Linked DNA regions of Nothobranchius furzeri. Each later gene encodes a partner of the first gene's protein in a complex. Links are inferred from orthologs where the notes say so. Each region holds a gene or a part of one and is shown on either strand. Other genes may lie near its edges.

What was found.
Region 2: gins2 (region 1) and mcm5 share a complex: the UniProt entries of both Homo sapiens proteins name them as parts of the CMG helicase complex. The link is inferred for Nothobranchius furzeri from reciprocal best matches to the Homo sapiens genes GINS2 and MCM5.

What each region holds. Positions count from the first base shown.
Region 1 is NC_091749.1:57,263,385-57,279,912, reverse strand, and holds gins2 (DNA replication complex GINS protein PSF2), read left to right. Parts: upstream 1-7,128; 5' UTR 7,129-7,373; coding exon 7,374-7,463; intron 7,464-7,562; coding exon 7,563-7,677; intron 7,678-8,405; coding exon 8,406-8,505; intron 8,506-8,641; coding exon 8,642-8,768; intron 8,769-12,072; coding exon 12,073-12,201; 3' UTR 12,202-12,469; downstream 12,470-16,528. Other genes in the region: cox4i1 (cytochrome c oxidase subunit 4 isoform 1, mitochondrial), read right to left, coding at 967-1,042; emc8 (ER membrane protein complex subunit 8), read left to right, coding at 2,261-2,473, 3,239-3,315, 3,415-3,484, 3,701-3,795, 4,295-4,454; gse1b (genetic suppressor element 1), read right to left, coding at 14,867-15,007, 15,136-15,239, 15,644-15,976, 16,114-16,485. UniProt on the Homo sapiens protein: Required for correct functioning of the GINS complex, a complex that plays an essential role in the initiation of DNA replication, and progression of DNA replication forks.
Region 2 is NC_091752.1:68,033,833-68,045,921, reverse strand, and holds the start of mcm5 (DNA replication licensing factor MCM5), read right to left. Parts: upstream 3,004-12,089; 5' UTR 2,869-3,003; coding exon 2,696-2,868; intron 2,346-2,695; coding exon 2,219-2,345; intron 2,139-2,218; coding exon 2,010-2,138; intron 1,931-2,009; coding exon 1,758-1,930; intron 1,675-1,757; coding exon 1,519-1,674; intron 1,435-1,518; coding exon 1,265-1,434; intron 1,188-1,264; coding exon 1,016-1,187; intron 893-1,015; coding exon 781-892; intron 704-780; coding exon 560-703; intron 488-559; coding exon 422-487; intron 349-421; coding exon 172-348; intron 95-171; coding exon 1-94. Other genes in the region: gcat (2-amino-3-ketobutyrate coenzyme A ligase, mitochondrial), read right to left, coding at 5,828-5,979, 6,071-6,192, 9,456-9,627, 9,716-9,798, 10,137-10,291, 10,482-10,628, 10,703-10,804, 10,875-11,005 and 1 more. UniProt on the Homo sapiens protein: Acts as a component of the MCM2-7 complex (MCM complex) which is the replicative helicase essential for 'once per cell cycle' DNA replication initiation and elongation in eukaryotic cells.

The DNA.
Region 1 (16,528 bases):
TCTAAATAGCCATTAGAATAGTCGACTATTCGATAAAATAATCGTCAGAATAATCGTTTTAAAAATAATCGTTTACCCCCAGCCCTAGTACTGTGATATAATATAAGCAATACATCTATTTTATTTATTTTTTGCTAAGCACGCCCCCTGCCCGGCAGAGCTCCGTGCAATAGGAAACTGACCAGAACTAACCAATAGCGTTAGACTACCACTTAGACGCTTCACATTTAAGGAATACCTCGGCTGATGCAGAGTTGATGAACTTTTCACAGACAAGTAAATCTCTAAAATATAAATATATGAAAGTACAACATGACATGAGAATACTCTTAAAACAGCATGTTTTAGCTCGGTTTGTCGGCTACAGAAGCACATTTATAAACAGAAATGTGAAGTAGCCATCTTAAAAAAACAGAGGAACAGCGGTTTTGTGTGATACGCTTGTCAGCCACTAGATGGTGCCATTGGATAAGAGAAATACTAAGGAAAAAAAGCTTTAATTATCGTGACAAAATGTGGCAGGGAAAACACTGTAACCTGTCCTCCTGTAACCCTCACTGGCTCAACTTGTAAAACAAAGAACCATTCAGCTATAATGTGACAATTATTCCAACCTGTGGATGTGATATGAGGTGTGTCAATTATTAAAAAAAATAAAAACTACTTCCTACAACAGTTTCCGTGTTTACCATTTCTTGCTTTTCCCACCTGGTTGAAATTGATAGTCTACTGCAAAGCTTCTGCTACTTTATTAAACTACGTTTAGACCATTTATTTCTCTGAATCAAGTGTGTTGGAGCTGGGGAGAACAAATCTATACCATGCATAATGGTGTGCATCATTTTCCTATTTATTTTAGAAAAGCTTCTACACTCAGCATATACTGAAGTAGACTTAATTTGAACATTACTTGTTAACATTTAGACTGTAGAAAAACCTGCAGCTGTTTATGCCTATTTGACATACCATGTCCTCCACGTAAGCAGACAGATGTAGAAATGGCACGTTTGCCAATAAGGGTAAGGGCTCTTGTTGTCAGCATCCTGTAGATAAAATTAAAAACTTTAATATATGAAATAAATCAAACACTTACCATACAGTCTATAAAAACCATGTTGATACCAAAGTATAGAAATAAACGTAGAAGCTGTAAATAGTAAAACACGTTTCGCATTAGTAAACACAATAAATGGCCCGCACTTGTATAGCGCCTCTCAGAGTAAGGACTCCAAAGCGCTTTACACTACAGTGTATCATTCATCCATTCACACACACACTGATGGTGTGCAACACATAAAATTTGTGTTCTGTGACCATATTTTATTCAGTAATTCTTAAAAGGTGAGGTAGGCGCCAAACATTATGTTAACAGTGACGCATATAAAACACCTTTTGCTAAAGTCATGTAGTCATGTTGTTGGAGATGTGCAAACAATCCAAAGATTCACGTTTACCTATGAGACTACGCTAATGTTAGCATTAGCTACAAACACAAGGTCACAGCGCCCGGTGAAATGTCTATGAAACACTTCTGCTTCTTAAACGCAAACTTTCACTATTGTTTTAGTTTCACACAGATTAATAAAATTAATTCATGGCGAAATACCCAAGGCTTTGTGAAATCAGTATAAACACATATTACATATTTTATTTTTATTGCTAACGGTAGCTAGCCGAGAAGTTAGCTCTTCCTAGCTCCGATCCGCTCTGACACAGTGACCGTGTGAAACTGTCTATTCCTGTTATTTTGCAGTGTAGTTCGAGTCACAGCATTAATAGTATTACAATTTAATTTAAAAGTGACTTGTGTAACAGTGTTTGTAATGTTCAAACGATATAGTTGCTAAAAACGCATACGACCTGCAGCGTCTCCCTTCCTCCGCGTTGGAAGTGGATCTCTCTGAACGGATACACGTCACGTACGTAAACTAGAAGTACGTAAAGTGCGCGGAACCAATCGAGTTTTACGTTAATTCCGGTGGTACTAAAGAGTGGAAGGTGGATGAACGATTAGCTCTTTTATCCGGACACGAGTTATTAGTTTAACAAAAAGACGGCAGTTGTAATTCCTATAACAGTATCGGTAAATTCGGCGTGTGAAATGTTGTTCCTCAGACCACATATTCTGAGACTGTAGTGGTAAATGTATACTTTTCTTCGGGCATGAGAAGTAAGGCTAGCTAACGGTGGCAGAAGCTCTATTTTATCGTGTAACTAGCAACTCTCCTACTTTGTCAGGACCTGCCTCATCCTAAACAACATGCCTATTCAACTGACAAGTCAGGCGTATTGCAAAATGCTTTTACATACTGCCAAATATCCGCACTGTGCCGTGAATGGATTGCTAATAGCAGAAAAATCGAAGGAGAAGAAGAAAGACGGCCACGGAGTTCCAGTTTTGTGTGTGGACTGTGTTCCTCTGTTTCACGGTACTCTCGCTCTGGCACCAATGCTAGAAGTAGCTTTGACGCTGGTTAGTATTTGTGAAGTAAACGTTACCTTTTTGTTTTCTTTAGTTGATAATTTGTTTAAACGTGCATTGTTTGAACTTAGTTGAATCAGTCTCTTTCATTAGTTTGTTGAAAGGCTCTGACTTTCTCTGACAGGTGTTTGTAAATTGATCCGCCCTACTCACCATGCATTTTCCAACATGGCTAATGTTATTGTTTGGATCAACGGAAAATTGTAAACTAACTGAGAAGTCGTGTAAGCTTTAAAACAAAAAGACACATTTACAGTTATTTCTGGTTGTTTTGAGAAAGGCAGAACTACTAAAAATGTTTCCAGATCAAATGCAGAAGTTATGACGATCAGTACTTTTCTACCCAGAAACTATTCATTTAAAAACTTTAAAGCTCACTTTGCTGATTGATTTCATGTGTAATGAATGTTAAATGTGGTTCTCACACATCTGTAGGTTTTTTTTAGCCCTGCAAGAAAGGGGAACTATTAAAGACTTTATGTACTAGACTGATGTTATGTTTTGTCATAAACAAAAATGAAACTATGCCACTAAAATTAATATTAAGGTCAAACATAGTTTGTTTTTTTAAGTACAACAAAACATTTTGTGAGCCGTCTTTTCAGGCACTGAAAATATGCGGCGATGGTAATTCTTAGATACACTTCAATAGATTTAAATTTCAGTGGAAAATATTTCCCTTTCGCAGAAGTCTACTTATTGTGACTGCCGTTGCCCTCTTGTTTTACATGTTGACCTGTTTGTTTTTATTCTCAGATCGACACTTGGTGTAAAGAAAACAATTATATCATTGCTGGATATTATCAAGCCAATGAACGGAAAAAGGATTCAAAGTACAAACAGTTTCTTCTGTCTTTTGTTCTTTAACAAACCATTCCCACAAATACCTCACATTAGTCCCTTCACTGTTTCATTTGTGCTAATCTCTTTAGACCAAACCAAGTTGCAGAAAAAGTGGCTGCTAGGATCACCGAGAACTTCAGCGAAGCTGCCATTGTTATGGTAAAGTTATTTAAATAAGACTTGTAATTATTGTACAACACATTAATCAATCAGAATCTAGAGATCCGCTGCTTGAAAAGTCGTACAAATGTTGACTGTCCTGGAACAAAAGAACCATTTGTGTATTAGACATATTTCTGCAAATAATGCAAAAATATCCATACCTTTCCTGTTTCCTGATACGGATGTGTGATTTTATTTGTTTTGATTCTGCAGGTGGACAACAGCAGATTAACAGTGAGCTGTTCAGAGCCCATTGTGGTCATTTATGATCATCATGAAAACAAGTGGAGAAACAGAGAAGTAACAATGTACGCGTCTGATTGCGCATTCCCACTGGACGTGCAAGCGTTTTGGACGTGTCATTCTGCGAAATGTACACTTCGATTAAATTTTTCACCTGCTACATTTCCAGAACACGTCAAGCTCTGCAGTTTGAATCGGGCCATACTAAAACATTCAGAAACTTTCAAAATAAAAGTCATGTGAAGCTTTACTTAATTAAAAAAAAAAAAGTGCATCAATACCTGTGAAACCTCCGTAGCCGAGGTGAACACAAAATAAAGAACCCCGCTTGTTATTGAGCGCACTGCAGGAGTCGCGCCATGCAAGCTGCATGGAACACTTTCTCTGCCGTTCTGCATCTGAAACGCTCATGGTGGGAGAGGAGCTTGCAGGCTTACGTACCCAGTGGAAAGCTGATGTCTTCTGCATATAAACTAAATGTTTGACCATTAACTTACAAAGTTTAAAGCAAACTAAATAAAGAGATGATGAACTAATGGATCTATTTGTGTTTTTATCTCCTAGGGGTTCTTTTGAGGACTGGAGCGAAGCACAGAAGATCACCTCTGCTCTGCTGGTGGGCAGGTCTTACGAGAACTTGATTGACTTTGACAATCACTTGGATGACTTAAGAAATGACTGGACCAACCCCGTCATTAACAAATCTGTCCTGGATCTTTGTTGAGACTTGGAAGTCTTCAGAGCAACATGGCGCACCCTCAAATGTCGCTGCCATTTTAGTCTGCATGATGCTACATACCAGGTAGCACATAGTCTTCAAAGTGTCTTCGCTGAAGAAACATGCAGACGAGCGATCACGCGGGCCAAAATTCTCCCACGTTCAGGCGCCACATGTGCACCAGTGGCCTGTGTTCATCTTTACCGGGCGATTTATAGGCGATGAAGGTGCTAAGCCTAAATGATAAATTTGTTTTTCCGTTAGATTCTAGAGTAATAGATCTATATAACTCAAATTTAAATCAACTAGACATGAAGAGTTTTACATGATTAAAATTTGGTTAAATAAAATTAACACATTGGTCTGAAGCTGCAGAAATGTAGCTATCATAACAACGCTGAGATCACACACAAGAACTGAAGTTCTTCTGCTGGTGTTGGGTGACTTGAGGTTTTAGTTGCATTAAAAAGAGACGCTTGAATTAAAAATGTGACTTTAAAATATTAATGCCAATGCTTTTCAAATATGTGATTACTTATTGTCATTGCCATGCTGCCCATTGTTCTGGATGGTTTATTCTTAAGTCTTCTCTGGTCAATGAAGTCTGATAATTTAGTTTTGCATTTACATTTGAATAATTACGTTACGGTTATGTTTATATGTCGACGGTTACGGTCTATGAGACAGAACCTCGAAATCCCTTTTCACCTGGTGGAAGTTTTGAACACAAGTTTCGTTGATTGAATGGGAAATGAAGTTCTGATCAAATTCCTTCATTGTGTGTAAAACATCTGTCTTTAATTTGATGGGTTTGGCATTTTAAGAGGGTTGGGAAATAATTACAGTGACTCCAGAGCTGTAGCTCACTGATGGTAGTTTTGGATTAATGTGCTTTTTTAAGAGTTGTGTTCATTTGTTTATGTATCAGCAGCTTGTGTGTGAAGGTCATGTGGTACAGATAACTGGTAGAACGAGGACTAATGCGACATTTTATGTCAGTTTGTGATAAAGTTTTTTTCTTCAAGAATGTGACATTAAAATAAAGACTTGATAGTGCAAACATCTAGAGAGAAGTCTTGTATTGGTTGTACTCTTAAATCTGTCTCACTGCCAACTCTTAAGCAACAAGCGTGAGAAACCCGTATTTGACTGTTTTTACAGCTCTCATGCCACATTTCCAATTTCTTAAGCTAAATAAATAGTTCATCTATCTGAACTACACACTGTCGTGCTACACACACTCTAGCTACAGCGCTGCAAACTGGTTGGTGTCAAAGAGGAGGGGAAATGTTGCCCTCCAGTGGCGACAAGCTAGAACTACACTGGAAGAGAACATTTCAGCCTCATCTCAACAAAGCTGAAAAAAGTCGCCGTAGGGACTTGTGCTTTGCGCCACACAACATTCTGTTCAACATCGTTACAAAAATGCAGTTTTAACAGTGTTTTTAGATAAGAGAACAAGACTGTTCGAGTGAGTTCCTCTGTTGCCAACACCAAAATGCTGTAGCGTTTTATTTTGAAATAATTTGCAGGAAGTGTTTCCACTATTTTGTAACTTTAATTATTTTTGTTCCGTTTTCTATTCCGCCATCATATTAATATTCTCAAAGGACAGAAACAAAGACGGATTTATTTTCAACATCACTGAAATGAAGCTAAAACTTTGATGGTTTAACAGAACAAGTGTAGTTCACGCTTCTCGCCACTTGAGGACGCCAAAATCCCAAAGATGCTCTTCAATAAATCAGTTTTCATTCAACTAATATACGTACGAGGAGGAACAGTGAACTGCTTATATATAATAACTTCTGTTTAAAACGTAAATTCAGTCATCCTAAATCAGATTTCACAACATTGCTGAGAGAATTACCAAAATAATTACTTTTCAAAACCAAAAACATTATTGAACACCAATAAACCGGCAGTAAAGCCCAGTTTCTATCCAGGGAATATCCCTCATTGATAGAAAAAGCACAAACCAATTTACTAGACACTGTCTTCCTGAACACCTATCCCCCTGTAAAATGAACAAGAACAACATACTTTAAATGTATCAATAAACTAAGTATATTTGAGCTCTAACTTCCTAGTCAACCAAAAGTCTAATTGACAAAATGTTTGAATGCCGTTTATCCTTCTAAGGAATTGCTGAGAAAATGCTTAAACATTGATGATAATACTTGAGACAACGGGTCATTTACTGCAGGTCAATCATTAATCCTGGCTGGATATAATTTCAAATAAAAATATTTCTATTTAAGGAGACAACTGTTACTATTGGAACAAGATAGTTATAACTTGGTCCTCTGTTTGCCAAAATGTTCAAACATAAGCAAAGAATATTTAAATTACCCCAACTTTAATTTTTTTTTAATTACAAGTGTCTAAAATCCCTAAATTGTATTAAAGATAATGGTTACGGGTTTATATATGAATAATGAAAACTTCCAATAATTCTATTATTATTAATATTTTTAATTCCCTGTTTGAATGTCATTTAAGATGAATTACATATTTGCCTTACATGATCTATAAAGGTTGAATAAAGAAATGGAAGAATAAGTATGGTTTAACCGTTGTAGCTCACAGTTGCCGCCTAGTGGTGGTAGTCTGCTATAGCTGCAGTTCATACGGAAGTTGTCATTCCGGAAGTGCCCGGACTAAAATTCAAGGTTCCATCGCTGCCGTCATAGTCAGGTTGAGCCAGGAGCTTCACGATTTTGACGCCAGAAGCACACTGTTCTCATTATTTTGATGCAATGAATTGAAAGAACGAATACAATCGCTACAAATAAAATTACTCGTAGCACTTCAGGTTTTACTCTACGGTACTTTCTTTTGATGACGTAGCTGACCAATCCTGGCATTTTGCTTCGTACATTTTCAGCGCGGGAATTGTCGGCTTCAGCGAACAAAAACAAAGTCATGGATCCTTCCGAAGTTGAATTCTTAGCCGAGAAAGAGTTAGTCAAAATAATTCCCAATTTCAGCCTGGACAAGATCTTTTTAATCGGGGTAAGTCTGAGAGAAATTGCGCAGATTAAGCTAATCTCGAGTTAATACACATTTAAAGTCACTACTGAGGCGCGTGAACAGCCTTACTTCTGTCCGCAGGGAGACTTGGGACCCTTTAACCCCGGCCTGTCCGTGGATGTTCCTCTGTGGCTGGCTCTGAACCTGAAGCAGCGACAGAAATGTAGGATTCTGCCTCCTGACTGGATGGATGTTGGTAATGATTCTTTGTTTAGTTTGGCACCCTGGTTAAACATCGCGATCCCTCTTATTAAAAAGAGGTTTCCAGAAAACTAACTTCAGTAAAAGTGTCACAAGGCTCAGTTTGAGAACCCCTAAAGGGCTCTGGCGTGTACGGCACAATTTCTCAACAGTTTTGGATACTTTTTATTGTTATGTTTTAAAACTGTGGTTGTCTGTTTTTAGGGTCACACTTTTTGTGCTACCCTGTATATTTAATGTTTTCAAGCCATATTGTGATACTTACTTGTATTAGTTTATTCTGAAATTACTTTATCTATGCAAATAAAAATCAATCAATCAATCAACTTTTACAACTGTTTTTGAACATTTCGTATCTCAATATCTACTTTCCTACTTTTAAAATTAGATTTCTGGACACAACACTGATTTCTGTCCTCTGTTGAGTTAGTTTTTTATCCCTGGTTTAATCCCGGATGCAAATAAGAACAATAATAATTGTTGCAATTATTATATATTTCTATTTAAAAAAATCAGATATAAAAGCAGTCCATTGCCCCTTTAAAAGAAGAGTGCTCTTCACTCACACATGGAACTATCTTCTCTATTTTTGAATTTAGTAAATTCTAACTTCTCTTAAAAGTTTGAATTTAAACACAAGATTGGTTTATAATCTCATCAACAGTTCCTAGCAAATAATTAGCTAAAAACATGATACTGATTTTAAATGATTTGCTCCAACAGAGAAACTGGAAGAGATGCGAGCGCTGGAGAGAAAGGAAGATGCCTTCACTCCCGTTCCCAGTCTGTACTACATGGAGATCACCAAACTCCTACTGAACCAGTAAGTCACTAATGCAAACGTTAAGCTTTCCATCCTGTTGTGCTCTCTGCTGATGGTTTTGTGTGTGTGTGTGTGTGTGTGTGTGTGTGTGTGTGTGTGTGTGTGTGTGTGTGTGTGTGTGTGTGTGTTGCTGTAGTGCTTCTGACAACATTCCTAAAGCAGATGAAATCCGAACACTGGTCAAAGACATCTGGGACACTCGGATTGCCAAGCTACGCCTGTCCGCCGACAGCTTCATCAATCAGCAGGAGGCTCACGCCCAGGTAATGCAGACTTTTAAGGATTATATTGTAGTTATACACCGGTTTAATTCAGATCACATCTGGAAACTTCTTTTTTAGATTTTTCTTGTTGAATTATTTCAAATAACATTTTATTAAATGTCCCACAACAACAACAAAATCACTTGAGCACGTCTGTTTTGTTTTTTTACAAGAGAAACCGTGAATTAAAACACAATTATTTTATTGTTGCACTTTTTTGATGCTGTAATCATGTGATTCGGTGGAATAATTTAGTAAATTAAACATCTGGGGAGCTTGATGTTTTTCTTCTTTGCAGGATTACCGGTCATCATAGAAACTGATCAGCTCAAAACAATGTTTAGGATTATTCCTATTTTCCTGTCGTAAAAGACAGTATAGTTATTATCTATGTTTATGAGGTCTTATTAATCCCAAATGGCTCTCTGAATTAAAAATGCTCAAAATGAAACTCGGCTGCGGTCTTTCTGCGTGGAGTTGCGTGTTCTCCCCATGCATGCGTGGGTTTCCTCCGGGTACTCTGGTTTTCCCCCACAGATCACAACATGCCCTATAGGTTATAAATTTAAGTTGCTTTGGATAAAAGCATCTGCCAAATGAATAAACATAAACTTTCTTTCCCCAAGGCCTCCACAAAAACACTCCAGCTCGGATCAGTGGCTAAACCAAGAATGATTTCCTAAGTCAATATGAACTATTCCACAACTAATAATCTAGATAATCATTAAATAAACATTTGTTTATTGCTACTTATAATAAATATATTATAATGAAATGTTCCATTAATCTGTGCTCAATGATTGAATTGCGAAATGAATATTGTGTCTACAATGATTGCAATGTGGTTCCGCTTGTTTATATGGCGAGGTCATAACATCTGCACTCACACAATAACGAGTACGGTTACGTTAAACTCTGACACATAAATAGTCTTTTACCCAGTCAGAACGTCCGGTCAAAGAAGGCGTGTTTCTGAGTTGTCTTGGTAACATCTCTCAAGCCTGTCAGCCTTTGATTGGCTGTGCACCCTGTCAAAGATTTTGACACATCGTCAAAACCTTTGTGCACCTGTGAAGCTGATGAACAACAGTCCCTGCAGAACAAAGCTGATATTGTTCAACTCCCTAAGAGTTGCTCCTGAGACGCAAGCTAGTCCAGCCTGTGTGTCTGGTGACATCTCGGTACTGGGGAAGTCGGTACTTGTCAATCCACTGGACCTGGGTGCCCCAAGGTCATCTGACCTCTCTGACCTCCGGATCCACGACAAGGGTCTCCAAAAGGGTGAGGTAGAACACAGTGAAGATTGCGTCTGATGTGCTTCTGATGATAGCAACTTCATAGCGTAGCGCAAACCAAATTCTTTTACATCCAGACTCAGCTCTTCTAGATAAGGAGGTTCTAACACCACATTGATACATAGTTTATGTTTACGTATTTAGCAGACACGTTTGTCCAAAGCGACTTACAAGTGATAATCGGCATGTTGCTCTTGAGGCTAACAACAACAATAACAACAACAACTTGACATCAGTCATGGAGAGGAGGGAACAAAGGAGTGGACAGTAGAGAGGGGGGACGGGTGCAGGCAAGGTGCTAGTTTAGAAGATGCTCTCTGAAGAGCAGGGTCTTCAGGAGTTTCTTGAAAATTGAAAAGGAAGCCCCTGTTCTGGTAGTGCTTGGAAGGTCATTCCACATTTGTGGAACGATGCATGAGAAGAGTCTGGATTGTCCTGAGCGTGGTTTAGACACTGCTAGCCGACAATCCTGTGATGACCGGAGCGGCTGGGCCGAGACGTAAGCCTTAGCAAGAGGATTCAGGTAGATGGGAGCCATACCATCTCAGACTTTGTATGCTAGTGTTAGCAATTTGAATTTGATGCGTGCTGCTAGCGATAGCCAGTGGAGCTCAATGAACAGAGGGGTGACGTGTGCTCTTTTTGGCTGATTGAAGACCAGACGCGCCGCTGCGTTCTGGACCATTTGAAGAGGTCTGACAGTACAGGCTGGAAGACCAGTTAGAAGGGCATTGCAGTAATCGAGGCGGGAGATGACAGTAGATTGCACCAGGAGCTGGGTGGCATGTTGTGTTAGGTATGGTCTGATCTTTCGTATGTTAGGGGTGGGTGCAATTAATCGATGTGGCGATGCATCTAAAAGCTTTACTGTTGTTTCGGCATCGATTAATGAACGTTGATGCTTAAAAAAACATAACATCAACATTTTGTTGCAAAGCCGGTACTAAAAAAATAAAAACACGTAACTGGAGCCTTAACGTTCACCGCCCGGACTGTTTAGTGAGTGGCACTACCTCTTTGACCTCTTTCTCCATCCTGAAGACTGTCTCCAAACTACCGAAGAACTCGGAGAAGGCGAGGAGCATTACAAAAGCAATAGCTACTTTTATCGCGACGGATCTACGCCAGTATTCAGTAGTGAACAACAGGGGGTTTCGGTTAGTGGTGCGCACCATGGAGCCGTGCTATAAACTTCCTCACCGAAAACACTTCACAGAAAAAGAAGTCCCCCTCCTCTACAAGGAAGCCAAAGCAAGCGTTCTGGAGTCCATGACGAAGGCAACCGGGATACTGTACTAATATACAGCGCAAAGCGGCATGAACGAGCAACAGAGGCAACATGATCTTTAAAGGTCAGGTGTTCATCAATCACAACACCCAGATTTCGAACTGCCTTTGAAGGAGCCAGAGATAGGAAGTCATTTTGGATTGAGATATTGTGCTGTGTGGATGGTTTTGCTGGGATGACAAGTAGTTCAGCTTTAGAGAGGTTGAGTTGGAGATGGTGGATTTCATCCATTTTGATATGTCAGAGAGACAGTTTCATACTCCTGCAGAGACAGTGTGGTCGTCCGGTGGAAATGACAGATAGAGCTGGGTGTCGTCTGCATAGCAGTGGTAGAAGCTATCACATTTAGTTCCGTCCACTCACAGCAAATGCTTAGTTAACTAGTCATGTTTTAATTGTTTATAAAATAAATTTTTACTTTTATAAACCTGACTCTTTTCTGATTCAAAACAAAGTGTGTACAATTACTTAATAAAGCAAAAATCATAGAATCTTCTGATAAATACAATAAAGACCAAACAGGGTTGATATTTTATATTTAAATAGTATCACAGCTTATTGGTCATAAGTAGAGGTAATATATATATTGAGCTCTTAAAGCACTCAATTTACCAAAAGCTACACACACACACACACACGTATATATATAACTTGTAGATGTCATCTGTCAGAACAGCACCTCTTCTTCCTCATGCCTCATTCTGCATCCTTCCCTCTGCAGCTGGACAACCTCACCCTGATGGAGATCAACACCACACGGGAGTTCCTTCTCGATTCTCTGAACTTCATGTTCAAGCTGCGCTCCAACCTGCAGCCTGGGTCCAGCAAGGGCCAGCTCACGGACTACTAATCCAAAACATCCACGCCTTCGTAGCCGCTTTGAGTCTTCAGACGGAGCTCATGCCATTAAACAGTAGTGCGTTCTTACCAACCAGGCCCTGCACCACTGGATGGAACATCCTAGAACCCAGTTTAACCAGTAATGAGGGATTTTACCTCTTTTGATGAAGATCTTTATTTTATTGCTTGCAGTTTGTGATAAATGCAAATGTAATTTAAGTCCATTGCTGATCGTTTGTGCTTTTAATATGTAACTAAATAAATATACTCATTCTTAATTGCCATAATTTCTCTATTTTTCTTTATGAATGTATTTCTAATGCATCAGGATTTGTCGAGAGAATTTCTGCTGCAGAAAACATTCTGGGAAGGGCTTTTTATGACAGTTCAATGAAGCATACACAAATGTTAATGTTTAACATTTTTGAAGTATTTTATTTTCTTTTTTGTCTGAAATCACAGCCATATATTCATAAATACCTAATTACTACATTCAACAAAGAATATATTACATTACAATGAATTTAAACAAGTACATTTTTTTAAAAAACAGGATTTCACAGCATCTAGACATCTTCCACTGAGTAACAGGACTATTGCATGGGCGTGCGTGGGTTGGAGACTGAGGAAGAGGATCGTCTTACTGCACCTTCCTCCCACAGCTCATTGGCAGCTTCCCTCAGCGTGCATGCATCCTCGTTTACCGGCCGGCTGCACCGTTGGCCCTCTCTCTCCACTGCTGTGTAAATGTAACAGGCTACACTCTGTGGTCCTCTGGTTTAGGCTTACATTATTAATGAAACTTTTGTTTAAAAAAAAACGTTTTTAGAGATGCATTCAGATCAGTTTAGTGTCAGTTCTTGACTTGCACATATTTGAAAGACACTTTGATGTGGAGTCCCTGATCGCTAATGTTGGGTGGAGAATGTTCGACGTGGACAAACTCATTCGCATGCTCCCAAATTATTGAGGCACTTTTTATATAGTGTGGCATAGTTGTGCTTCAGTGTTTTCTTTCTTTTACTATAAATTAACTTCTTTTAAGTACATTTTAAAATGTATACACCGTTTTTTTGTAGTTGGGCTTATTGAAAGGCTTCACCCCTCAACATAAACATCCCAGTGATGTTAAATCTGTAACATAGGGGGTCTGAGATCAAACATCTTTAGACCAGAAACATAAAAATAATACTACTTCTCCAATTATAGGACACAGATTGTGAACACGTGTAAGGTCAAGCAAACCGTTACAACTCGGACTATGTGAACAAGTAAAATTCAACTCCTGGTTCTAAGTGTGATTTTTAGGAAACATGTTGCAGCTTAGGGGCGTAAGATGTTGTTTTTTAGGTGTGGGGGATATTTGGCTGCCAAATTACAACTCAAGTCAAGGTCAGCGATAAAAAAAATGCTGTTTTTGGCACAACGTCCTTTAATGGAAGGTGCATCTCAGGCAAGCATGTTGTGACTTCAAGGCTATGTAGAATGTAAAGGTCAAATGGTAAAGCAATCTGAACTGGACGTGGGTCTGGTTTTATGCACAAGGACATTACAAGCTAACGTGTCATGCTAGCAGCGGTGAAGCGTTGCAGGGGTCTCTAACATAAAGACGTGTTGCTGTGAAAGAAAACGGGAGGGGTGTGAGCGGAAAGACACCGGGTCTCGCGGCCCTCTGAGTGAGCTTCGCTGAGCTCAGAGGGATGGATGAGGTGGCTGTGGCCAGGTCTCGGCGCAGAACGACAGCAGGAGCACTTCCTGCTTTCACTCAATCTGTTCCAACATCTCAAAATGAGTTTTTTTCTGGCCAGCAGCAGTACAAACACTAAAAGCAAGGCTTTTTTTTTCTCTTTTCGCAATCCCCTCAAAAGCAAAAACATATAAAAATGGCAGGCTTTTTTTTCTTAAAAGAACAATGATTAAAGTAATAAAAACATACAAAATTCATTTGTCTTCATATTATTTACAATACAAGGCTGAAGCACCTTTTAAAATTCTTATTTTCAAAAATTTCTATTGAAATAAAACATTTCCTTAATTCTTTTCCAAAAAAAAAAAAGTACATTTCTTAAGTTCTTCCCTAGTGTGAATAGTTCTTTGTTGTAACGCGGTACCAACAGGTAGTTCTTCAGCTTTGATTCTTAAGTGCATTTCCAGTTCAAAAAGCTCACGTGGCCTCTGGAAAAAAAAAAATCTGTCCCAACTGACTGGAAGCCTTTGCGTTGAGCTCTCAAGTCTTGTGACAAACCCCCTCCTGGGGAAGCTGCTCCTTCATTGGCAGGATTGTCTGTGGCGCCGAGGGGTGCGGGGATGGACCGACCGACAGAGCAGCAGGAGCTGGATAGTGGAAGCAGCAGGTGCGTCTGCGTGGATGTTCAGGTTCCGCCTCGCCGCTCGCAGGTTGGCTACATTGGCACGCGTCAGTGGTTTTCGGTTCAGTCCCTGGCAAGCCACAATCCAAATCCTAACTGTCCTTCACCGAATGCCTCTCCCTCCCCTGAGCATTCACCTGTCTACTCATTCACTCCATTTATTCATTTTCTCACTAATCTTAGCTAGCCTGCCACGTTCTCCTGTATGGTGCCACGAGGACCAGGCTGTGAAAAATAAACTCTGGGTTCAAGTCTGGAAGGGAGGTGTTTGGGAGTTCAGGGGGTCATCAAAACGCCGTGGCGGGGTCACCTTGGAGGGTAGCCTTTGTAATGACCGCCCCTTGGCCAGTGTGTCTGTGGCAGTGTCAAACACTTCCTGAAGTGCTCCAGTTCTGCTTGTAGCTTCTCTCTTTCCACTGCTAGCTTCTGTCTTTGGGACATCAGCTCCTGTGGGACAAAGAAAAGGTTAAATATTAGAAATTTTATTTTACAAGAAATTTAATCTGATTTAGCAAAGTCGAAGCCCGTTACAGTGTTGGGGCCTCTTGGCGTAAGGCGGCGTGTGTTTTCCTTACCCCCATGCTATGAGACAGCTGCTCAGCAGTCAGACTGAGGTTGTAGTTCTGAGTTTCTAGTCTTCGACACTGACTCTGCAACACTTGTCTCTCCAAACTTTGCTCTGCGTTAAAACAGTAAAAAGTGTGTTTGAGTAACAGATTTGGGGCAAACATGCTCATATGTCAGTGTTTGGTTGTTTGAATGAAGTAGGGTAGAAATACTGCCCCCTAGCAATGAAGGCACGCCACAACAACTCTTGCACTAGCAAGAGCTTTGCCTTTTCTTTTTCGGGGATGTTATTTTTGATTATTAACTGGCTTAGCTCTAAAGTTTTCTTGCACTATTTATCTTTCTATTTTATGAAAATCCACAAAAGAATTTAATTAAACCCCAAAATCAAAATCAAAACTACAAATTGTTTCTTTTAAAGAATCAAAATACATATAGTCATTAAATACTATAAAATAAGATGCTTGTAAAGATGTTATTCCAAACATAAATGCCAGAGGAAGTTTTTTTTAATACCTTCAATATAATCTTGATAGGCTTCAAATATCGATTCAATTCCCTGCCACTTGGAAACAGGAGGCTCCTCTTCCTCCTCCTCTTCTTCCTCCTCAGAGTTGTCTGGACCGGAGACGTCCTCCCTGATCACTGCAGCCTCCTTGTGCAGATGCAGTGAAAAGTGCTGCCCGTTGGGCTGAGGGTGGGAGTGTGATGGCGGGTGAGGAAATGAAGGCGCGTTCGTGTGAGGCTGTGAATGCGGCGGCCGGCTGGGTGCGCTCTGAAGCTCGGGGATGTTGTAGTGGACGGAGGACTCCTGGAGGTGGGAGGACTCTGACACACCTACCGCTGTCCCTACGTGTCAAAGATGGAGATTTGTGGTCAATATTTTAAGAAACAATAAGTTTTAACAATACGTTTCATGGCGTTACTGGAATTATAAAAGTTTAGTAACGGGGAGGAGGAGTTCCCTACGCGGCCATCCTGCTTACCTTTATGTTTCTGCAGAGCCTTCTGAGTGGACTGAAGCACAGACTCGTGAAACTGCTGGGCAAATTCCTCCGGGGTGAAACTGTCCCAGGGTTTTGAGCGTCCATTGATGCTGTGCAGCCCCTCTTTAGCCTGCAGGGGGAGCGGGGGCCGCAAGCTGTTGAGCAAGCTGGAGCTCCGCTTTGAGGGGGGACCCTCGCTGGGCCCCCGGGCCTTAGCTGGGTAGACAGCTGGAGAGGGGGGTGCCTTTGGCCTTAACGTGTCTCCGAGGGATTTTGAATGGCCGTTGGGGGATGCTGGGCAATGAGAGGGGGGGCTCTGTAGTCTGACGTTATAGTGGTCCTCAGATTCAGAGTGCTGGCTGAACGCTGAATCTGCATTTATCACAGCGTATGTTACTAATGATGAAGTCGCACT
Region 2 (12,089 bases), on another chromosome or scaffold:
ATTTCTTAAACGTAGCCAGAGGAACCTCGCCCTCCACACCTTCGGTCTGCGTCTGAGCACTCAGGTGGACGTTCATCACGTGGCGAGCCAGCGTCTGGGGAACAAGCAGACGGTGAGGTTACACTCCGGAGGAAGGGGGCGCCGACGCGTTCGAGGCTCCAGCCTCCTCACCATGTCCCTCTGCTGGTCGTGCTGGTCCTTGATGATGAAGATCATGTCGAAACGAGACAAGATGGTGGGCATGAAGTCAATGTTGTCCTCCCCCTTCGTGTCGTCCCAGCGACCAAACACGGAGTTGGCGGCGGCCAGCACGGAGCAGCGGGAGTTCAGGGTGGTGGTGATGCCCGCCTGGAGGAAGCGAGGACGTCAGGATACCACGGCAACCGTCTCACATCCAAGATGGCGCATCAGCTGTACGTACCTTAGCGATGGAGATGGTCTGCTGCTCCATGGCTTCGTGGATAGCCACGCGGTCATCCTCCCTCATCTGAGAAACAGAAACCGCTCAGATTTAGACTCCGAACCGGGTCTAACGCTGACGCTCGGGCGTCGGTCCTACCTTATCGAACTCATCGATGCACACGACTCCTCCGTCGGCCAGCACCATGGCCCCTCCCTCCATGATGAACCCACGAGTGCTAGGGTCTCGAAGCACCGAGGCGGTCAGGCCGGCTGCGCTGCTGCCCTTCCCGGAGGTGTAGACCTGAAGGTCACAGACACACCGCTGAGCTTCTCCTCATGCTGGCGTCAGAGCAGCAGCTCCGGGAAAGCTTCTCTTACCCCGATAGGCGAGCACCTCTCCACAAACTTCAGCAGCTGAGACTTGGCCGTACCGGGATCTCCGAGCATCAGAAGGTTGATGTCGCCTCTGCGAGTGAGACCGTCGGGCAGCCTGGAGGAAGAAAATCAAAAAGGTTACCTATTAAAGTCAGATAAGAAACATTTCTGCAGATTAAATATCCACAAAATTCCCTAAGGGGGGGGGGGGGGGAATGGGGCGAGGTGGCGGTTTCACCTCTTCCTCGAGCCTCCGAACAGCAGACAGGTGATGGCCTTCTTCAGATCGTCGCTGCCGTAGATGGAGGGAGCTAAAGACTGAGCCAGAGAGTTGTAGATGCTCGGAGAAGCAGCAAGAGCTCTCAGCTCCTCCTCCTCCTGAGGAGACACGGACCCGGTGGCACCACGACCTGGACGGGATGAAGAAGGGGAACGTTTCTCCGGGTGGACTAGAGGCCAGCCTCGTGAAGCAGACGTAAAGCGGTACCTGCTCCTTCTGTGTCCACCTGGATGCCGACCACTCGTAAGTAGGACGCGCGGATCCCGACGCCGATGCCCTTCTCCTTGCCCTTTGCTTTGGCAGCAGCCATCTTTTTGATGGAGTAGATCCCCAGGATGGTAACCCTGTTGCCAGGCACCACGCGGTCACACATATACCTGAGAGAAGAGAAGACACCTGAGTGAGCAGAACACACCGCCCCGGCTCAAACACCCACGCCACGCCACGCCGCCCCTCCTTACCGGTCACAGTACAGCTGCAGGTGCCGGGGGATTTCTCCGTGTGGCACGGCATCCGGAGACTCCTGCAGACGGAGCGTCTGGAAGTCCACGCAAACGCAGCGGTCCGGAATGATGAAGTACGGGTCCACGGGGCACTTTGCTCTCCCAGGAGCGTCACTGAGAACAAAAGGGGTGCGTTAGCTTCCTCGCTGATGGCCGAAAGCCCGGGGGAAAGCGCGGCTCCTCTGGGTTACGCCCACCTGGTGCACTTGCGGGGCAGAGCATAACCCTGCAGGCCCGGCGGCAGCGCGATGTTTTTGATGGTGTTCCTGCAGCCGCGACACTGGAGGCACACCTTGGTGGCCTTTGCTTTCACCGCCGTGGCTGAGATGATGATCCCGTGCACCTTCACCAGACGAGACACCTGCTCCGACTGTACGAGAAGAAAAGTAGTGTAATCCAGTCCTGCGCGACGACTACAAGGCTCTTAAACAACACGGGTCAGCAGGTACCTTCAGGGTGCGAATGTAAGCATGGTGGGCGTCGCTCTTGAGCATGACCTGGATGTCCTGCACCTCCTCCTCTCCTACAGGTCGAGGACGGGTCACTTCATCCGCCACCTCCTTGGCAGCTTCCTCCAGCTGTTAAATGAAAATCTGTTAGAGGATGTCGCTGGAAAGGTTCGCCTGACAGTTGGGTCTGGCTCCAGCAGAAGACTCACCAAGGGCAGGTTCTCCGCAGGAACCTTGTAAAGGCAGTCAGACAAGTCTTCATCAAAGCTGGCCAGGTCCTCCATCTCCACCTCCACCCAGAACTCTCCCAGGGTGTAGTGTCTCTTCAGCTCATCTCTGATGGGAAGGACGGACAGATGTTACAATCCGGACAGACTACCAAAATAAAAGCAGGGTGAAGAGAGCCCATTCTTGTGTGTGTGTGTGTGTGTGTGTGTGTGTGTGTGTGTGGCGTGGCACGGGGAGGGGGGGTCGCGGTAGCTCTCCCTTAAAGATGGCGGAACACACTCACAAAAAAGCCTCATTTCACCCTGAAACCTTAGATCTCCTCACCCAGCTCTTATTTTGGTAGGTACCTTCCGGATAAAGACTTCTTTTATTTTAACATTTTGTGTCGTTTCACTTCGAACATTTACCTCCTTATTAAAACCAGTTCTTTGGTGGCTGTGGCCGTCTGTGTTGCTCACCTGTATTTGTAGGTGAAGCCGGTGCGGTCCGTTCCCACCCGGAACTGCCGGAGGAACTCTCGGAACCGCTTCTTGATCTGAGCCCGCTTCTGCCCGCCGTCGTCCCCGCCGGGCGCGTCTCCTCCTCCGAAGCTGTCGCTGTAATAAACTCCGGGAATGTCGAAGCCAGACATCCTGCTGCAGCTCACTAAACTAAAACTCGGAGCTGGGACACGACTTTATTCTCAGACAGAGCGATCCCAGAGAGCGGCACTAACAGGAACAATGCGCCAGAGCGAAGTCCTTTCGCGGGAAAAAACGATCTGCTTCCTGTCTGTTTCCCGCGAGCCGCTTGTTTCGCTACACGCCTCTTCTGTTCTCTGATTGGCTGAATTAAATCCGGCTTCTTTCTATTGGTCACAGAGGGTTCCAAAAGGCGTGACGTTACGGGGGAAGGTGGAGCTTAGCGCTGTTGTGGCGCGAAAAACACAAAGGGGGAGGGGCGGGAGCGTCGTGCTGCCCAGCTCAACATGCAGAGGAGCCATGAGAACATCTAGCTCGTTTTCGCAAACGTTTCAGCTGTTTTGTCTTCAAAGATCAGACTTTAACATTTATTAGAAACATATTTCAACCTTTTTCATGCAAAACTCCAGTCTGGGTGCTTCAGGCTCACACGGCTTTGGAAGAGTTTGAGACTTCCCATCATTCTGGTTTGTGGGTCTGGACTCTGGACACCATTCTGTTGTAGATCAGCTGTGTTTGGGATTTGGTCCCTTTTCATGATCAACTTTACTCCAACGCGTTAAAAGAGTGCAACACTGAAAAAGCCTTCTTTTATTTTTATTTCTACTTATGATCAATCAGCCACTCGTGTTTCTCGCAGGCTGAACACGAGAATAATCTCCTACACCAATCTCCGGCTGCTTTAGCTTCTGATAGAAAACAGACGGTGAAACTCTGGGATTAGAAAATCCTGACAGATCTACGTCACCCTGTCACTAACATTCATGGACTCACCCATCTTGACTCACGACGGGGGAGGCTGTTGTTTAACGTCCAGGAAACCGCAGAGAATGTAGCTAACCATTAGCATTAGCAGCAGCACCACACAGCAGAAGCTCCTCAAGACTTGTGTTATTAGTGGATAAAACATTGTTGCAAGTCAATGGTAGAGTCGCGTTGCTGTCATCCAATCTGGGGCGAGATGTCCAAATAGCTCAGCTGTAACGTGGGCAACTTTTAGGTCAGATAAATAGTGCATCGGTATATTTTTCACCCCCGAGAACAACTTACAAGACATTTGTTCCTACTAGAACAACTCCCTTAACCCTCTGGAGGCAGGCGTCTGCAACAGTTAAAGCCTACCTACCTGGTTACTCCACATAAGTATTTCATGAGCACTTTTGAACTCAGAAGTACCCCTGAAGGACTTAGTTGTTCGTCCTTTTATCAAAACTTATTTTGAGCCTGAGAGGGTTAAACATCAGAGACATAAACTCACTTTTCAACCATTAAAAAAAGATGAGTAGACTCAATGAGTGCAAGAAGCCCAAACCATCAACCCTCCACCACCGCAGGTATGATCCTGTTTGGTATTTTCATGAACTTGCATTGAAACTAGACACATTATTCCCATCAAGTGACTCCTGTGTGCAGGTGCTGCCATGTTGTATTTTGGTTTGTGCACTTGGGACAAGCTCTAAGTCACTTGTGCACAATCATCCATCCACTTAATCCTCACTAGGACGACATGGAGCTGGTGCCCATCTCCAGCTGCAGGCATTGGGTGAGAGGAAAGGACCCTGGACATGTCCCCAGTCCATCACAGACCTTTGTTTCTTCTTAATTATAAATCTCAGTAAGACAAACACAGCCTCGAGTTTTCTTCTTAATTTAATACTTTACGGACTTTTGAAGTTTTATGCTCGCGATTGCCCCCTCAGGCCAAAAGCGTAACAGCAGCTTCAATAGTAGGCTCGTGCACGAGGAGCGCATGCTGTACGTGCACACTCCTTAACGAAAACAACAGCTGAGACAGTCCCTTGTGTGTGTGTGTGTGTGTGTGTGTGTGTGGGTGGCCTGGAGGACAGAGGACAAGAGAACGTGCAGCTAATTCATTAAATAATTTGGTTCTGTACCTTTCTCTTCAGCACAGCCGACAAAGGTTTATGATGGGTCAGTCCTCCTGCATGCTCAGATCATTCCCTTCCCTTACTTGAAAAATTGTTCCAAAATGAAAGTTGAACCCACATCTTTTTTATCTGTGAATTCAATGCCGTTCGGCGAGTCTCCAATAAAAATTTGGGCATCTTACTGTAAAAAAATATACCATTAATGTAAAAAATAAACTCTAAATAAACTATGTTCACACCTAGAATCGAACACAGGTGTTCTGCATGCGAGTCCGTCGTCTCACAAGGTGAGCTACACTCTAGTAACATTCACAGTATCTGTAACATTTATATCCTTGATGACAGCTGAAACAACGTTCAAAGAACGGTTCGGAGCGAAAATGGCTATTTTGTTGCTAATTTGCAGGAAATATCTAGAAGAAAGTTCTACAGAAAGTAGCTAAGGGTCCTCAGAAATGTAGCTAGCTTTGTCACTAGGCGTTAGGAACAGCGACAAAGTGGCACTGTCTCTCTCTCTGCTGCTAAAGCTACTGATAGCAAACGCTACGGGCGATGCCTGAGCGTGAATGAAGCAGCCTGCTCGACCCGAGCATCTCTCTTTTTCTGTGATTTTACAGAAAAACAGGCAATCACAGTAAAAATGCCAGGGCTCATTCTACAGGACCAGGGCATTGCAGGAGAATGTATGAAGAAGACATTTATTATTTCTATACATGTTTTGACTGTCAAACTTCCATAATGCACCTTTAATGTTTTCCACAAGTTCTCATCATACAACATTAGTTCCAGCACCACTAAACTTTTTAATATAGCAATCTTTAAAAATCACATTTGTGGATAAAAGAGAAAAGCTTTCTCGTGCTAAGACGTAGTGTAGGCTATTCATTATTAGCCCTCTTTTAAACCCCAAATACAAACATTTATCAACAGCACTTATTTAAAAAATGCTCAAATGTAACGAATGTTTCCTTCTACATCATCCGTGTGGAGTAACAGGCGCTGCGGTTGAATTAAACTTCTTTTAGGAGATGACTCCATGTTTTCTTCCCGTCTGAATGAAAGCGTCCACACATCGGTCGATGTCTTCGTCGGTGTGCGCGGCCGAAATCTGAACGCGGATTCGGGCTTTGCCCTTTGGCACCACTGGGTAGGAGAATCCAATCACGTAGATTCCTGTGAACAGGATAAACGAACCATCAGACTGAGGCGGTCATGGGAATGTGAACCTGATCCTGATGCAGTTTGTTGGGAAGTGGAGTCTCACCGAGCTTCAGCATATCGTCGGCCATCGTGGAGGCCAGCCGGGCGTCGCCGAGCATCACGGGACAGATGGGGTGAGCTGAGCCAGCGATGGTGAAGCCGGCATGCGCCATCTTGTTCCGGAATCTGGTTGGACAGCAGTCACACGATCACATGTGAAGGTGGGAGCGTCGTGTTTGTTCTTAGCTAATCTGCTTTGGTGACATCTTTCCCTCAGAAGACATTTTAGACTAAGAAGTCTTTCTAAGTTTCCTTAACAGCCTCCGTTTCGGATTCTGTCCGTCAGTTAAAACGTTTTAATGTTAAAAATCCTCAAAAGTTCTATAGTCAACTCGTGATTAATCGCAGATTACAAACTTATCTTAAAGATCAAGTCGACTTGTTTAGTCAGTACATGTACAGTGGTCTCCAGCACAAATGAATGTGATTGAGAGTCGATATGTGGGAAAAGAGCTCTGGCGCTCCTGTTTCAGGAAGTAGAAATTGGTTGGAGGAGTGGGCAGTAGACAAATATCCTCCCTTTATGTAAACATATTTTTATTATTGCAGAAATCTAAAATGATGTCAAATCAGAATGTTCTAAATAAAGTTTTATACCTCGTGAGATACAGCATTAATAAAAATGCCCAAGTAACGGACTCCCATACAAAGTAGCTGTAACTAAAGTACCACACATTATCCTTCATGGTGCTAATTAGCCTGTAGCATGTAGCGATCCACTTTGCTGAGGCATCAGTTAGCTTTTGTTGCTTTCATTTAGCCTTTGCTGATATTTTAAACAGGTGACAGGAAAATCCAACATGGCGGTGTTCACAAGGAAGTTTTCTTTAATCAACTCTGCTGTCTGGAGCAGATGGAAGAAAACGTTAGGTTAAAAGATCAACAACATTCCTTTTAGCTTTGGTTCACGTCAGTGCTGAACCAGTCTTTGCCCCGCCCCCAATAATCTCATTGGTTAAAACGTGGGGCGACGCTCATCCTAACCAAAAGTGATGAAGATCTCAGCCCTGCTGTGATCCAGGAAGTGTCTGTGTGTTCAGAGCTGATGAGCAACACTCTTCAAAACAAGATGAATAAAAATGTGTTAAAACACCATTAAATTTTTGTCTGAAGTGATTTATTAGGTAATGCCATTATAATTTACTCATCTAAACACAAGCCACTTTAATAAGGAGTTCCACAGGGTCTACCTTTAGGCCCAGCACAGTTTAGTCTATACATGCTACCACTGGTATCTGCAGACATCATTCTCAGTTACACCGATGGTTCGTGTTTTTGGAGCAAACTCAAGTTTGATTTGAGGTTAAAATCCTATTAGCTGCTCCTTTGAGGAACTGTTTCCCGTTTTATCTTAACTGCTTTGAGCCCTAACCCTTATCAGAAAGCTGATGTAGCCTTTATCTTATTATTTTATTATGAGAAATTAGTGTTAGTTTTAATGACTCGGGTCTAATTTGTGTCCAGGCTTATGGGTCGCCACAGCCAATCATCTGTCTCCATTTAGTCCTGTTTTCTGCATCTTCTACGGTCACACAGACCAACTTTAAATCCTTTTTGTTTTCCTCTCAGCCTGGCGTCTCCCACATAATCATCATCTCTCGTCTGGAAACATCCAAAGGTCTCCTAAGTAATCATCGTTTCTCGTCTCGACACGTCCAAACGTCTCCTACGTAATCATCTCTCGTCTGGAAACATCCAAACGTCTCCTAAGTAATCATCGTTTCTCGTCTCGACACGTCCAAACGTCTCCTACGTAATCATCTCTCGTCTGGACACGTCCAAACGTCTCCTATGTAATCATCGTCTCTCGTCTCGACACGTCCAAACATCTCCTACGTAATCATCTCTCGTCTGGACACGTCCAAACGTCTCCTATGTAATCATCGTCTCTCGTCTGGACACGTCCAAACGTCTCCTACGTAATCATCGTCTCTCTTCTCGACACGTCCAAACGTCTCCTACGTAATCATCGTCTTGACACATTCAAACTTCTCCTACGTAATCGTCTCTCGTCTGGACACGTACAAACGTCTCCTACGTAATCATCGCCTCTCGTCTGGACACGTCCAAACGTCTCCTACGTAATCATCGCCTCTCGTCTGGACACGTCCAAACGTCTCCTACGTAATCATCACCTCTCGTCTCGACACGTCCAAACGTCTCCTACGTAATCATCACCTCTCGTCTGGACACGTCCAAACGTCTCCTAGGTAATCATCGTCTCTCGTCTGGACACGTCCAAACGTCTCCTAGGTAATCATCGTCTCTCGTCTGGACACGTCCAAACGTCTCCTATGTAATCATCGTCTCTCGTCTCGACACGTCCAAACATCTCCTACGTAATCATCTCTCGTCTGGACACGTCCAAACGTCTCCTATGTAATCATCGTCTCTCGTCTGGACACGTCCAAACGTCTCCTACGTAATCATCGTCTCTCGTCTCGACATGTCCAAACGTCTCCTACGTAATCATCGTCTTGACACATTCAAACTTCTCCTACGTAATCATCGCCTCTCGTCTGGACACGTCCAAACGTCTCCTACGTAATCATCGCCTCTCGTCTGGACACGTACAAACGTCTCCTACGTAATCATCGCCTCTCGTCTGGACACGTCCAAACGTCTCCTAGGTAATCATCGTCTCTCGTCTGGACACGTCCAAACGTCTCCTAGGTAATCATCGTCTCTCGTCTGGACACGTCCAAACGTCTCCTACGTAATCATCGTCTCTCGTCTCGACATGTCCAAACGTCTCCTATGTAATCATCGTCTTGACACATTCAAACTTCTCCTACGTAATCGTCTCTCATCTGGACACGTACAAACGTCTCCTACGTAATCATCGCCTCTCGTCTGGACACGTCCAAACGTCTCCTACGTAATCATCACCTCTCGTCTCGACACGTCCAAACGTCTCCTACGTAATCATCGCCTCTCGTCTGGACACGTCCAAACGTCTCCTACGTAATCATCACCTCTCGTCTGGACACGTCCAAACGTCTCCTAGGTAATCATCGTCTCTCGTCTGGACACGTCCAAACGTCTCCTAGGTAATCATCGTCTCTCGTCTGGACACGTCCAAACGTCTCCTAGGTAATCATCGCCTCTCGTCTGGACACGTCCAAACGTCTCCTAGGTAATCATCGTCTCTCGTCTGGACACGTCCAAACGTCTCCTTCGTAATCATTGCCTCTCGTCTGGACACGTCCACACCATCTCAGGCTGGCCTCCCTGACTTTATCTCCCAAACATCTAACATGAGATGACGGTATTTATTGGACTGAGTTTACTGTAAAACACTGTGTCACACCAAGTTGTATGGAGAGTGCTTTATAAATAAAGCTTGACTGATTCAAAACGTATGAAACGTCCCTTTAAAGCAAGCATACCTCATGGTTTTGGTAGTCATGCTCTGTGCAATCTCGTTGGAGGCTAGCAGCAGCTCCACAGCTCGTGTGGCACAGCCCACCACGGAGGGGGGGAGGGCGTTGGAGAAGAGGTAGGGCCGTGAGCGCTGCCTCAGCAGGTCGATGAGAGGCTTCGGACCCACCGTGTAGCCGCCTGACAGGAAATATGTGTTAATTACACTTTAACTCCACCATTTCACATCCCAAGCTAGCATGAAGGACGGTGAGCAGATGGGACACACCTGCTGCTCCTCCCAGAGCTTTCCCCAAAGTGGAGTTCACGATATGAACTCTGTCCATCACACCGAGCAGCTCGTCTGTTCCTCTGCACAGTGGTAGAGTTCGGAGTTAAACGACGTTTGACTGTTTTTAAACACCAAGCTTCGTTTAAAAGCCAATTTAGAAACACGACAATTAAAAACACACCTGATTAAAAAAAATAATAATAAAGTGAAAAAAAGAAGGAAAAAAATAAGAAAAGAAAGAAGAAAAAAATAAAAAAGGGAAACAAAGGAAAAAAATAAGAAAAAAGGGAAAAAAATAAAAAAGGGAAAAAAAGGGAAAAAAGGGAAAACAATAAATAAATAAACACACCTGATGGCTTGCTATGCACAGCCCACATGTTACAGCTCGAATCATTTTCAAAGCAGCACCTTCACACACCTGCCTCGGGTTCCCAGGAAACCCGTGGCGTGACATTCGTCTATAAACACCATGGCTCCGTACTGTTCTGCCAGGTCACAGATCCCTGGAAGGGGAGCTACGTCTCCATCCATGGAGAAGACTCCGTCTGTCACGACGAGACGCATACGAGACGACTGAGGACGGAAACACACAAAGAGACGGAGCATCAGCAGCCTGGATCGTCAACGACATCGAGACAGAAGCCGCCAACGGAGCTTTGACTTTTACTTATTTAACAGCACCACCTTAAGGGCGCAAACAACCAAAAACGAACAAACGTCAGATTTAAACGCACAGAGTGGAGCTCTGAAAGACAAACCTTACCTGAGCCTCTTTGAGCTTGACCTCCAGGTCACTGAGGTCCATGTGTTTGTAGCGCAGCCTCTTCGCTCGACACAGACGGATGCCGTCGATGATGGAGGCGTGGTTGAGCTCATCAGACAGAACCGCATCATCTGGGCCCAGCAGCACCTGTAGTCACAGTCCTTTTAAAGATCGTGATTTTAGTTTGGCGTCAGGACACAGAAGAAGGAATCATCACATACTTCAAACAGCCCAGCGTTGGCATCAAAACAGCTGGCGTAGAGGATGCAGTCCTCCCGCTCATGAAACTCTGACAGCTTCTGCTCCAGATGTTTGTGTAGATCCTTAAAAACACAAATAAGATCCGTTCTGATGAATTTATCTTCTAGTCCGAGTGAGCATTACGCGCCATACCTGCGTGCCACAGATGAACCTGACCGAGCTCAGGCCTGCACCGTGGGACTTCAGTGCATCGATTCCTGCCTGCACCACCTCTGGATGGCTGGACAAGCCCAGGTAGTTGTTAGCACAGAAGTTCAGGATGCCTAAAAACAAACAAATAAATAAATAAATAAAACCCCAGCATTTCCACTAATTAGGAATCACAAAAAAAAAAACTTTGAAACTTCAAAACATTTTAAATCTAAAAACATTTGTTGTCATTATGAAATGTGTAAAAATGATAACTTTAACCTTTACAGTTCCCTGAACAGCATGAGTTTGGAGAAATGGTGTTTTTGTTGCAGATGTTGACCGGCCAAAGTAAAATTGAAAAATCTGAATTTTTTTTTTCTGGACTACAAATGCACCACTGCCAAGCAGCATGCCATTTCTTCCAGTTTGTGATCTCATCACCACCAAGAGCTTCCTCCTGCTAGCAGGAACAGAGACTGGCCTAAAGTGACCTAGCCGTTCATAAAAGGGTTCTCCATTCAGAAATGGCTGACAAGCTGCTGACTGGACACAAGCCAGGCGGAGGTGAGCTGGTGAGCGTGTCACGACAGAAGCGTGTAGTAACTTTTGTGAACTTTAGGAGCTGTGACAACCCACTTGTCTGTGTTTAAACAGAAAAACGCTCCTCCTCAGTCAGCTGCAGCTCGCTGCATCACCTGGACTGATCCAGACTTTAGAGCTTGTTTTATGATACTTTTATAAATAACTGCTGGTTGTAACTCTGAGCACTCACTGCCTCGGCTGCCCTCCACGCGGATCGCTGGACCCTGCCTGGAGGTAATGATCCTCTCCGCTTTCCACGTCCCCGCGGCTCGGATACCGTCCAGCTCGTGCTCCAGCAGCGACCTGGCCTCGGTGACAGCCGCGTAGCTCCGCTTCAGAACCGGCTCCGAACACACCAGAACCCCCCGAAACGACTTTAACAAACTCCGGGCGGCTTTTCCGACAGACATGTCTACGATTCTTCAGCGTGAAGCAGCACAAGCGCACGTTACAACGAAGCGGGATTGCGTCATGTAGAAAAAAGAGACAGAAGGGCGTTAGTACTCTGAGCCAATCAGATGGCAGAGATTTGTTGCGTCAGGTCAATTTTGTCCAATCAAATTCAAGGAATGTCTGCTACTTCCGGTGTGGTAGAGAAAACCGGAAGACGGGCTCTGACTAAAAACAATCGGA